Linked DNA regions of Saccharomyces cerevisiae S288C. The protein of the gene in region 2 interacts with the protein of the main gene of each other region in a biochemical or structural test. Each region holds a gene or a part of one and is shown on either strand. Other genes may lie near its edges.

Region 1 (3,676 bases), on a different chromosome or scaffold from region 2:
TTCTAATTCCTACCTTAGCTAGTTGCAAAGTGGTGAAGTTACCTTTCTCCATCAATGCTTGAAAAGAGTCCAAAGTTGGGGCTGAAACTATTGTAGAATTTGGACTTACAAAAACTTCCGGTTTCTGAGTTGTGTTATCTAGGTAATTAAGATTTCCAGTCTTGTTGTGAAAAAAGCTAAATACATCTCTGTTATGGAGCAATTGCTTAACATGTTGCAATATATTTGTAGACATCAGTCAAACTTTTGAAAATCCCTACGTAATGACTGTTCCTGACAAATTGTAGCCTCTCGGTGACCTTCTGTCAAGTCAACCATTCCTTACATACATCATTTATATGCCAGAGGGCAGGGTAATGCAGACATACAAAAACTTTAATTTACCGCGCACCGCACCGCGCAATTTAAGATTATTGAGTCAAAATTAATGATGTATATTATATGATTTCTGTGGTGATAAATTTATTTGAGTTTATAATTATATTTGCTTAGGATTACTATTAAAAATTTTCATCTATAGCACGTTTTTGAGCGTCGTTTAGTGATATTGGATAGTCCACTTTATATTTTACAATCAAATTACCTCTCTGAGATGGGTTCTTTGGAGTTGGCATACCTTGACCAGGATAAGTAGAAGTTTGTGAGGGTTGGACAGGCTGTACTCTCGACAAAGGTAAGGTTCTGCCATCAATTGTTTGGATAGTTTTTGAAAAACCTAACAATGATTCCTTGAAAGATAGTGGCAGAGTGTAAATTAGGTCATCACCGTCTCTTTTAAAGTTTGGATGGCTCTTTTCCTGGATGACAAACTGCAAAGTCTTTCTACGGCCCGTTTGAGGATTGTAATCACCCTGGTTCTTGTATGTTATTTTGGTACCAGCTTTCCAACCCGGTTTTAATTGAATGTCAATTTGTGTCTTTTCAGAGGCCCCATGTGGGCCCTTTCTTCCAATTTTAAATGACTTCTTTTTACCAACAAACAAATCTTCTAGACTAACTGGTAAATTAACTTGAACTGTTTCTTCCTCTGGATACGTGGGAGAGCTTGATGCTGATCTAAAGCCGCCAGGCATACCTCCCATGCCGCCATGCATTCCTCCCATTCCTCCAGGCATACCTCCCATACCAGCACCGCCGCCAGATGGATAACTAGAGAAACTGAAGCCACTGTCATCAGCACCACCGAATGGGGAACTGCCGCCAAAGAATTGTGAAAAAATATTGAAAGCATCCTCATTACTGAACGCATGTCCTCCGGAGAATCCGCCCGCACCGCCAGGGAAGCCTCCAGCACCTCCAGCACCGCCAGGACCACCAGGACCAAAGCTTGGACCACCAGATCTAGCAGCCTCGAGACCGTATTGATCATATATTTCCCTTTTTTGAGGATCATTTAAAATTTCAAAGGCCTCTGATATCTCCTTAAACTTTTCTGTGTCACCTGTTGGCTTATCTGGATGATATTTTAGAGCTGCTTTTCTATAACCCTTTTTCAGTTCTTGCTCATTAGCACTTGGAGATACTCCAAGTAAATCATAAAGTTTTGTCTCCTTGACCATTATTAGTTCTGTATACTATACTCTATTATATTGATGTGAATGTATTAAAAAAAAAATCTTAAAATGCAAACAACTTATCCTTTATCCTCTGAAGAGTTTCTGGATGGTTATACAATTCTAAGTCGTTAAAAGAATTCGTGTAAGAGCTTAAATAATATTAATTAGAATTTTTGACAAGAAAGCGCATAAGTTTAAAAAGGGATTAACAATACGGTAAAGGGACGAGAAATCTATACAATATATATTAAATCTCGAACTACCTTGGCAAGGAGTTTGTGCTGACAGTGGTTGAAAAACCCGTAAAAGGATATCCCATTCTTTTTCCAGAAGTTTCTGGAACGTTCATATAAACCAAAGAGGGTAACACAATACGTTAAGATTCAGAAAAGTAACGACTAGCTATTACTGATCATGTTATAGAAGAGTGCGACAACCATATATTATTAGCGCAGCGATCAACGTGGCAGTCTTGTCATCCATATAAAAAAGGAGTTCTGATTGATGTCTGTTATCTTAGTATCTGCTGGCTATGACCACACAATAAGATTTTGGGAGGCTCTTACTGGGGTTTGTTCAAGAACAATTCAGCATTCCGACTCACAGGTTAATCGCTTAGAAATCACCAACGATAAAAAGTTGTTGGCAACAGCAGGCCATCAAAACGTACGGCTTTATGACATTCGGACGACAAATCCCAATCCAGTAGCATCCTTTGAGGGTCATCGGGGAAACGTTACCTCCGTTTCTTTTCAACAGGACAACAGATGGATGGTGACCTCTAGCGAAGATGGGACCATTAAAGTTTGGGATGTGCGTTCTCCGTCCATTCCTAGAAATTACAAACATAACGCACCAGTAAATGAAGTCGTAATTCATCCTAACCAAGGCGAGTTGATATCTTGTGATAGAGATGGTAATATAAGAATTTGGGACTTAGGAGAAAATCAGTGTACCCATCAATTGACACCTGAGGACGATACCTCTCTCCAGTCTTTATCTATGGCAAGTGATGGTTCGATGTTAGCGGCAGCAAATACTAAAGGTAATTGTTACGTATGGGAAATGCCAAATCATACTGACGCATCCCATCTAAAACCGGTAACAAAATTCAGAGCGCACTCCACATATATAACTAGAATTCTACTATCATCTGATGTAAAACATTTGGCAACATGTTCAGCGGATCACACTGCTCGTGTGTGGTCGATTGATGATGATTTTAAGCTAGAAACGACATTGGATGGCCACCAAAGGTGGGTTTGGGATTGCGCATTTAGTGCTGACAGTGCGTATCTAGTAACGGCATCGTCCGATCATTACGTGAGATTATGGGATTTATCAACTAGAGAAATTGTCAGACAGTACGGTGGACACCACAAGGGAGCTGTATGTGTCGCATTAAACGATGTATAGTTTACAATTTATCAACTACCAAGCTTGAAGGACCGAAGTGACAAAAAACATTATGATTTTCAGTGTTTGCTTATCCGCCTTTTTGTAAATATAGATTTTACTATCCTGTGCATTTTAGTTAATTGATTGTTCACAAAATGAAAGCAATCGCGATGCATATCATCAATGAAAGGAAGACGAGAATGTACAGTATAAACATATTCCCTTGCATGTAGCACTAAATTTTAAGTTTCGTGTAGACGAAAGGTTTAGCTACTTGCGCGACAAAATAGTAATATTTACAGGCATTCTTAAACATTTTATATGTGTACATACTGTGCGTAAGGAAAGAAAATCAAAGCTTGCTCAAAAAAGCCCGCCTACTTCTAGCAATGACTTCAACTTTATTTTTGGTGTAATCAAAACGTCTAGACACAATTGACTTCTTCCCGCTTTTGGTTTCAACCGTACTATCTGTTTCGGGGAAGACCGACTTTAAGTATTTCCTACGCAAATGTACTTCTTCAGATAAAGTCAAAAAATTACAAGCGTCCTTGAAAAGCGCCTTAATATAATTCTTGTCTTTTTTGGTTTCTAAGTGTTGGGATTTTTCTAGGTCCTCTAATAGTTTTGCCTTCAAAGCTTGTTTTTCTTGTTCCGAAATATACTGGTGTAGCTCTAGCTTGTTATTGAAAGATGTAGATGAGTTCAAAAGATCACTACAC
Region 2 (3,494 bases):
AAAACGTGAGTCACTGTGCATGGGTTTAGCAATTAATTAACTAATTTACCGGAGTCACTATTAGAGTCAGTTCGACTGCCTAGAAGAACTGCTGGTTGTCAGGATTGTGATGGGGGCATTCTGCTGTATTATGACCCATCGTATCGCAATGCTCACACCACTGTTGTCTTCCTGCCGTGGTATCGACTGGTGCAGGGGGGTCGAAAATTGGCAACGATTCCACGGCTGTTTGTGCTTGAGCCTGTTCCAACTGTTTGATTTTTTCATTAGCCTCTTCAAGTTTTTTCGTTAAGGATGCCACCTCTTCCGATGAGGAATCTTGTGGTTTTGTCAAAAATAGTTCCTTGCTCAAATTTTGGTATTCTTTACTGAGCGAATCGTTATGCATTTTCAATTGTTCGCGTTCTTTAGCCCACTTTGTCTTGTGTAACTCAAATTGGTCTTCTATGTTGCGTAATTGTTCCAGCTGTTTTTTCAGGAGTTCGACATCTTCGTTGGCACCAGTGGGTTGATTATGAGAAAGATTTCTCTCTTCGTTTTCTTTGATCTCTTCGTGTAGTTGGCTTACGACAGCAAGTAGCTGTTCATTCTCAGCGTCAAAAAACTGCTTTTGTTTGGCTTGCTGTCTGCGTTCGAGCTCCAATTGTTGCTTGAGATGGTCTATCTCTTTCTCTCTTTCTTGTATTGTGGCTTCATACCTATCAAAAGTCGGTTGCACTTCTTCGAGGACCATTCTTTGGTCATCGAGTAGCCTTTTGTAGTGTAGTTGTTTCCTTTGTAGCTTTTCGATGGTCAATTGGGCTTCTCGTAATTCAATTGTAACTTCGCTGCTATTGAGGTCATTCATGTGGCCATTGTCCGGTTTCCAATCGCTGGTGGTGTTGTGATTAGCCTTTCTGTCTGATGACAGGATAGAGTCGACCTCCATTCTGTCTTCTCTGTTATCGTAACCAAATTCTTGCTGTTGATGGTGATCCGATGCCTCCTGGTCCATCGACTGTTGATTACCGCTGTGCCGACTGGTGATCCGGAAACTTCTCATGGGTGTGGGGGATTTAGGATCATCCATGGGAGAGAACTGGTTAGTGAGCCTCACAATAGATCTGTTTTTGGGTATTGATAGCGGTTCCATTGTCGTTCTTCTCGAGGTTTGCGATATCGATGCCTTCTCGATCAATGATGCGACTTTTTGCAACTGAATAAATAGTCCACTTTGAGGATACTCCGTTTGAAAATACTTCTTCCCCATGAATGATCCATCGTTCTTACCAATGTTGGCAAGTAAGTCTACACCAGCAAACATTCCAGCTTTCGTGTCCACTGGACCCACGTATTTCAGTTGTCCGCGCCCCAAATTTGGGATTTGTATGAAACATCCTATCTTTCTTTGATATCTATCCATGGTATTTCAAACGCATACACAGCCAGCCACAGCTCAACGCCTTTTACCTTGTCCTTTGATGCCTGTCTCGTCCAAACGTTTTTGGTGTCTTGGCCAATTGCCCTTCTGAAAAATCTCACTGTCCGCAACTCATTAAAAGATACCCAAGCAAGCTACACGATAAAGAAAGGAGAAAGTTCATTAAAAGAACGTACATATAGCGATACAAACGTATAGCAAAGATCTGAAATGGATACGGATAAGTTAATCTCAGAGGCTGAGTCTCATTTTTCTCAAGGAAACCATGCAGAAGCTGTTGCGAAGTTGACATCCGCAGCTCAGTCGAACCCCAATGACGAGCAAATGTCAACTATTGAATCATTAATTCAAAAAATCGCAGGATACGTCATGGACAACCGTAGTGGTGGTAGTGACGCCTCGCAAGATCGTGCTGCTGGTGGTGGTTCATCTTTTATGAACACTTTAATGGCAGACTCTAAGGGTTCTTCCCAAACGCAACTAGGAAAACTAGCTTTGTTAGCCACAGTGATGACACACTCATCAAATAAAGGTTCTTCTAACAGAGGGTTTGACGTAGGGACTGTCATGTCAATGCTAAGTGGTTCTGGCGGCGGGAGCCAAAGTATGGGTGCTTCCGGCCTGGCTGCCTTGGCTTCTCAATTCTTTAAGTCAGGTAACAATTCCCAAGGTCAGGGACAAGGTCAAGGTCAAGGTCAAGGTCAAGGACAAGGTCAAGGTCAAGGTTCTTTTACTGCTTTGGCGTCTTTGGCTTCATCTTTCATGAATTCCAACAACAATAATCAGCAAGGTCAAAATCAAAGCTCCGGTGGTTCCTCCTTTGGAGCACTGGCTTCTATGGCAAGCTCTTTTATGCATTCCAATAATAATCAGAACTCCAACAATAGTCAACAGGGCTATAACCAATCCTATCAAAACGGTAACCAAAATAGTCAAGGTTACAATAATCAACAGTACCAAGGTGGCAACGGTGGTTACCAACAACAACAGGGACAATCTGGTGGTGCTTTTTCCTCATTGGCCTCCATGGCTCAATCTTACTTAGGTGGTGGACAAACTCAATCCAACCAACAGCAATACAATCAACAAGGCCAAAACAACCAGCAGCAATACCAGCAACAAGGCCAAAACTATCAGCATCAACAACAGGGTCAGCAGCAGCAACAAGGCCACTCCAGTTCATTCTCAGCTTTGGCTTCCATGGCAAGTTCCTACCTGGGCAATAACTCCAATTCAAATTCGAGTTATGGGGGCCAGCAACAGGCTAATGAGTATGGTAGACCGCAACAGAATGGTCAACAGCAATCCAATGAGTACGGAAGACCGCAATACGGCGGAAACCAGAACTCCAATGGACAGCACGAATCCTTCAATTTTTCTGGCAACTTTTCTCAACAGAACAATAACGGCAACCAGAACCGCTACTGAACGATGATTCAGTTCGCCTTCTATCCTTTGTTTACGTATTTGTTTATATATATAACTTTATTTTTTTTTATTAATTGGGCTGCAAGACAATTTTGTTGTCAGTGATGCCTCAATCCTTCTTTTGCTTCCATATTTACCATGTGGACCCTTTCAAAACAGAGTTGTATCTCTGCAGGATGCCCTTTTTGACGTATTGAATGGCATAATTGCACTGTCACTTTTCGCGCTGTCTCATTTTGGTGCGATGATGAAACAAACATGAAACGTCTGTAATTTGAAACAAATAACGTAATTCTCGGGATTGGTTTTATTTAAATGACAATGTAAGAGTGGCTTTGTAAGGTATGTGTTGCTCTTAAAATATTTGGATACGACATCCTTTATCTTTTTTCCTTTAAGAGCAGGATATAAGCCATCAAGTTTCTGAAAATCAAAATGGTAGCAACAATAATGCAGACGACAACAACTGTGCTGACGACAGTCGCCGCAATGTCTACTACCTTAGCATCAAATTACATATCTTCGCAAGCTAGTTCCTCGACGAGTGTAACAACAGTAACGACAATAGCGACATCAATACGCTCTACACCGTCTAATCTACTCTTTTCTAATGTGGCGGCTCAGCCAAAATCATCTTCAGCAAGCA
Region 3 (4,331 bases), on a different chromosome or scaffold from region 2:
AAGCATCAACTGAAGAAAACATTTTTGAAAAGATTGCAGTTGTTTTATAATACTATGCTAGAAGAAGAAGTTAGAATGATATCAAGTAGTCTTTTGTTTATTTACGAAGGAGACCCGGAGCGATGGGAATTACTAAATGATGTTGACAAACTTATGCGAGATGATTTTATAGACGATGATGACGACGATGATGATAATGATGATGATGATGATGATGATGCCGAGGGAAGCAGCGAAGGACCAAAGGACAAAAAAACAACTGGTTCTTTGAGTTCCATGTCACTAATAGATTTTGCACATTCTGAAATAACGCCGGGGAAGGGTTATGATGAAAACGTGATTGAAGGAGTTGAAACCTTGCTAGATATTTTTATGAAATTCTAGATATATTGAGAGGTGAAGTTTACCTTGTTTATGGTATATGGTACAAAAAGAACTAAACTAATTATACGTCTATATATATATATATATATATAACAGCTTTATTAAACCTTGTTTTTTAATATAGAAGAAAATGCTTTATGATCGGTATTATTGTGTTTGCATTTACTTATGTTTGCAAGAAATTTACTCGGCAATTTTAACAATTTTACCAATTGCTATTGTGGTACCTTGATCTCTCAAAGTGAATCTACCTAATTGAGGGTAATCTTGGTAAGTTTCCACACAAACTGGAGCTTCAGTTTCTAAAACAGCGATGACCTTCATACCCTTCTTAGCAAAAGCAGGTGGTTTCTTTGACTTACGGTTGGTACCCTTTTCTAATTTGTGCAATAACTTAACAATATGTACCTCTTCAATTGCTGTATGAACATGCATAACACATGAAAAACCGGCTGCTATGATAGATTTTAATTCTACAATAGCAATTTGAGCTACAAACTTGGTAACACTCTTGATAGGGTTCTTTGGCGATGTTAGTACAAAACCTGGTGAAATGTCTTCTTCTTCAACACCTTTGATTCTTAGTTTAACTTGCTCACCACACATAGCCATATCAACTTCATTTTCAGTTTCGTTGTAAATATTTTGAATTTCCACAGCGGTTTTGTTAGGCATCAGTAGGGTGGATTGACCCTTTTTGATATGACCGGATTCAATTTTACCTTCAACGATGGTACCTAGATCCTTCATCTTAGCGGCAATAGGCAACATGAATGGAGCATTGATGTGACGGTCGACGTGGTTCATTGTATCCAGATATTCTAACAGAGTTGGGCCGGTGTACCATGGGCATTCTTTTGGATCTACGTGATCTTTCAAATTTGCACCACTGTAGCCGGATACTGGCATAAATACAACGTCTGTCTTAATGTTGTAACCAATTGCTCTCAAGAAATTGCTGACATTACTCACACATTGGTCGTAACGTTCCTTAGACCAGTTAACGGTTGGGTCATCCATCTTATTTACGACGACAACCATCTTATTAACACCTTGGGTCTTGGCCAATAGGGCGTGTTCACGAGTTTGACCACCTCTCTCAAAACCGGTTTCGTACTCACCCTTTCTGGCGGAAATGACCAAAACACCAACATCAGCTTGAGAAGCACCACCGATCATCTCGGAAACGTACATTTTATGACCAGGAGCATCCAATATGGTATAACGCCTTTTTTCAGTTTCAAAGTAGGCCTTACCAACTTCGATAGTCTTACCATCATTTCTTTCTTCTTTGTTGGTATCCATGACCCATGACAAGTACCAACCTTGTCTGCCTGCATCCTTGGCTTCTCTTTCATATTTCTCAATAGTTCTCTTATCCACAGAGCCAGTCAAGTATAGTAGATTACCACCCATAGTAGATTTACCGGCATCAACATGACCCATGAAAATTAAAGAAACGTGATCTTTACCACCAAACATATCGTTAACAACTTCGTCATCCACTTCTTCTTCCTGTTCCTTGATCAAGGCATCAGCACTGGTAACATTGGCATTGTTGGTATTATGTGTTGATTCAGAGATTTTAAGGTCTTCTACCTTTGGAAGTTCCGATTTTTCCTCCGTCTTTTCTTCAGTCTGGACTGGTTTCTCCTCCTTTTTAACTGGTTCTTCGACCTTTGTTGGCTCTTTAGTTGGTTCTTTGGTTTCAGCAGACTTCTCTTCCTCTTTCTTATCAGATTCGGCAGGTTTTGTGCCAACCTTCTTGGTAGCATTGGCCAACTTGATACCGGAACTGGAGACAAGCTTCAAAGTCTTCTTTGGTTTGGGAGCGGCCTGCTTTTGTTGCTTTTGAAAGTCGTTCAAAGACATACCTTGAGACTGTGGTTGGAAACCAGCTTGATATCCTTGCAAATTGTTATTGTAGTTGAAGTTTTTGTAATTTCCACGGCCACCTTGTGGATTGAATTGCTGCTGATAACCGCCTTGAGGATTGTACTGTTGATAGCCTCCTTGAGGATTATACTGTTGCTGGTAACCGGCGTCGGGATTGTACTGTTGATAGCCACCTTGTTGGTACCCAGAATAACCTTGGTAATTTTGGTAGTACCCACCTGCAGGTTGGGCTTGAGCATTGTAAGCTTGATAACCTTGGTATCTGTTGTTACCTTGTTGTTGGTTACCGTTCTGGCTGTATTGCTGGTAGTTTTGCTGATTGTTGCCTTGGTTTGAATCCGACATTGTTGCTAGTGGGCAGATATAGATGTTATTCCGAGCAAGTCGATGAAGAAACCGCTTTTTGTTACAGTACAATGGAGTCTTTCAAGAGAAGATGTACCAATATACACTACACTCTTCAGAAGCAATGGGAGCTTTGGTCGAGTGAAAAAAAAATTTTCTCCATAAAGAAAGATCATATTATACGATGATGTAAGATATAATACCCGGTTGTAATGTACATTTAAGAGCAAGGTAAGAAGTGACAATAACTTCTGTATGATCTTAGCATGTACCTCTTTTGGTGGGCTGAGAACTAAGATTCATCTTTTTGCGGAAGAATTTTGCTATGAACTTCACAACTTTATGAAGTGGTTTAAGAGAATTACAAAAGAAATGACACAGACTCGAACACTGTGACGCGTCGTCTTAGTAAAAAATAATAATTTGAGTCAAATAGCGCAGCTAATGCGAAACAAAGAAATGAAGCATATACCATTCGTTGTATGATTTTTGTGTGGTTGACAGATATTCTGCCGAAATTTTAACGCTTATTATAAATATAAATGTATGTATGTGTGTATAAACAGATACGATATTCAATTTTCTACCGTAGGGTTGGGATTTTCTTCAAACTCCAATTCTTCGTCGGGTATTTCCTCAATGGCGATCCTCTTTTTTGGCTTCGGCTTTTCAGTGTCATTGACAATTTTAGGCACCTTAATTTGTAGTAGACCGTTGTTGTAAGTAGCTTTAATTTCTTCGTCCTTAATGCGTGGCAGCACGGGGAATTTAACGGTTCTCTCAAACGCACCATATTTTAGTTCCGTGATCTTCAAGAATTTTTCATCAATGCCCACTCTGTCTTCGATCTTACCCTTGATGAGCATCTCATGAGAAGATGGATGGTAATCAATGTGGAAAGCCCTAGAGTTAGCACCTGGTAACGCAAGAACAACTACGTAAGTGTCCTCGGTATCATAGACATTCACTTCTGGTGAAAATGGTAAGTCCATTCTCGTTTCAGGCTTGGATACTTGTAACGGGTCAGGTATTGGGGAAGGCGCTTGTAGGTGAGCGAACGATGAAGATTTTTTGGCTAATGGTGGTCTCGACGATTCCTCCAGCTGATTCAAAGGTTTTTCTTTGTTGGTTTCGCCAGCTTCCTCTTTGGGTGCTTCAGACTTATCCTTCTTATCCTTTTCTTCTCCCTTTTCGCCCTCCTGTTCGGTATTTGCTTCAATTTCTGGTTCAGTGCCTTCATATGGTGGAACACCTATTAACGCGGTTAATAAGTCGTTTAAACTGTTTGCCTGTTGGTTGGTCCTATTATTCCTGGCAGTATTACAATGGTAATATGATGGATATCTTCTCGAGTTGCTGTCCTCGCCACCATCTTCCTGTCTTGTAGTGCCGCTGTCACCCACCATATCTTCGTCTTGGTCCTCTTCTTCACCATCCTCGTCATCATAACCGTATTCAGGACTATAGTAATAGGCTTGTCCAGGGAACTGGTAGTAATAGGTATTAGGAACACCATTGTATCTGCTATACAATGGATGATGACGAGGATGATGCCCGCCAACGTGCACTTGTCCATAATGGGGATGGTATCTCTGTGGCCTTTGTGGTTGGCGAGGATATCCTTGCTGCCCTCTCTGGCCAGTTTGGTTGGATAATGCGTTCAAAACGTCATAAAGAGATAGGGATGGTTGATAAAAACTCATTGC

Evidence for each region.
Region 1: the proteins of RNQ1 (region 2) and SIS1 form a complex in vitro, tested with the Saccharomyces cerevisiae proteins (3 studies listed by BioGRID, with this or other methods).
Region 3: the proteins of RNQ1 (region 2) and SUP35 form a complex in vitro, tested with the Saccharomyces cerevisiae proteins (2 studies listed by BioGRID).

What each region holds. Positions count from the first base shown.
Region 1 is NC_001146.8:618,007-621,682, forward strand, and holds SIS1 (type II HSP40 co-chaperone SIS1), read right to left. Parts: upstream 1,560-3,676; coding exon 501-1,559; downstream 1-500. Other genes in the region: putative ubiquitin-protein ligase ASI3, read right to left, coding at 1-235; TOR complex subunit LST8, read left to right, coding at 2,061-2,972; mitochondrial 54S ribosomal protein bL27m MRP7, read right to left, coding at 3,307-3,676. UniProt on the Saccharomyces cerevisiae protein: Required for nuclear migration during mitosis. It is required for the normal initiation of translation. Might mediate the dissociation of a specific protein complex of the translation machinery. Essential for viability.
Region 2 is NC_001135.5:68,520-72,013, forward strand, and holds RNQ1 (prion domain-containing protein RNQ1), read left to right. Parts: upstream 1-1,630; coding exon 1,631-2,848; downstream 2,849-3,494. Other genes in the region: BIK1 (Bik1p), read right to left, coding at 80-1,402; FUS1 (Fus1p), read left to right, coding at 3,284-3,494.
Region 3 is NC_001136.10:806,618-810,948, reverse strand, and holds SUP35 (translation termination factor GTPase eRF3), read right to left. Parts: upstream 2,626-4,331; coding exon 568-2,625; downstream 1-567. Other genes in the region: ARG82 (inositol polyphosphate multikinase), read left to right, coding at 1-384; heat shock protein HSP42, read right to left, coding at 3,201-4,328. UniProt on the Saccharomyces cerevisiae protein: GTPase component of the eRF1-eRF3-GTP ternary complex, a ternary complex that mediates translation termination in response to the termination codons UAA, UAG and UGA.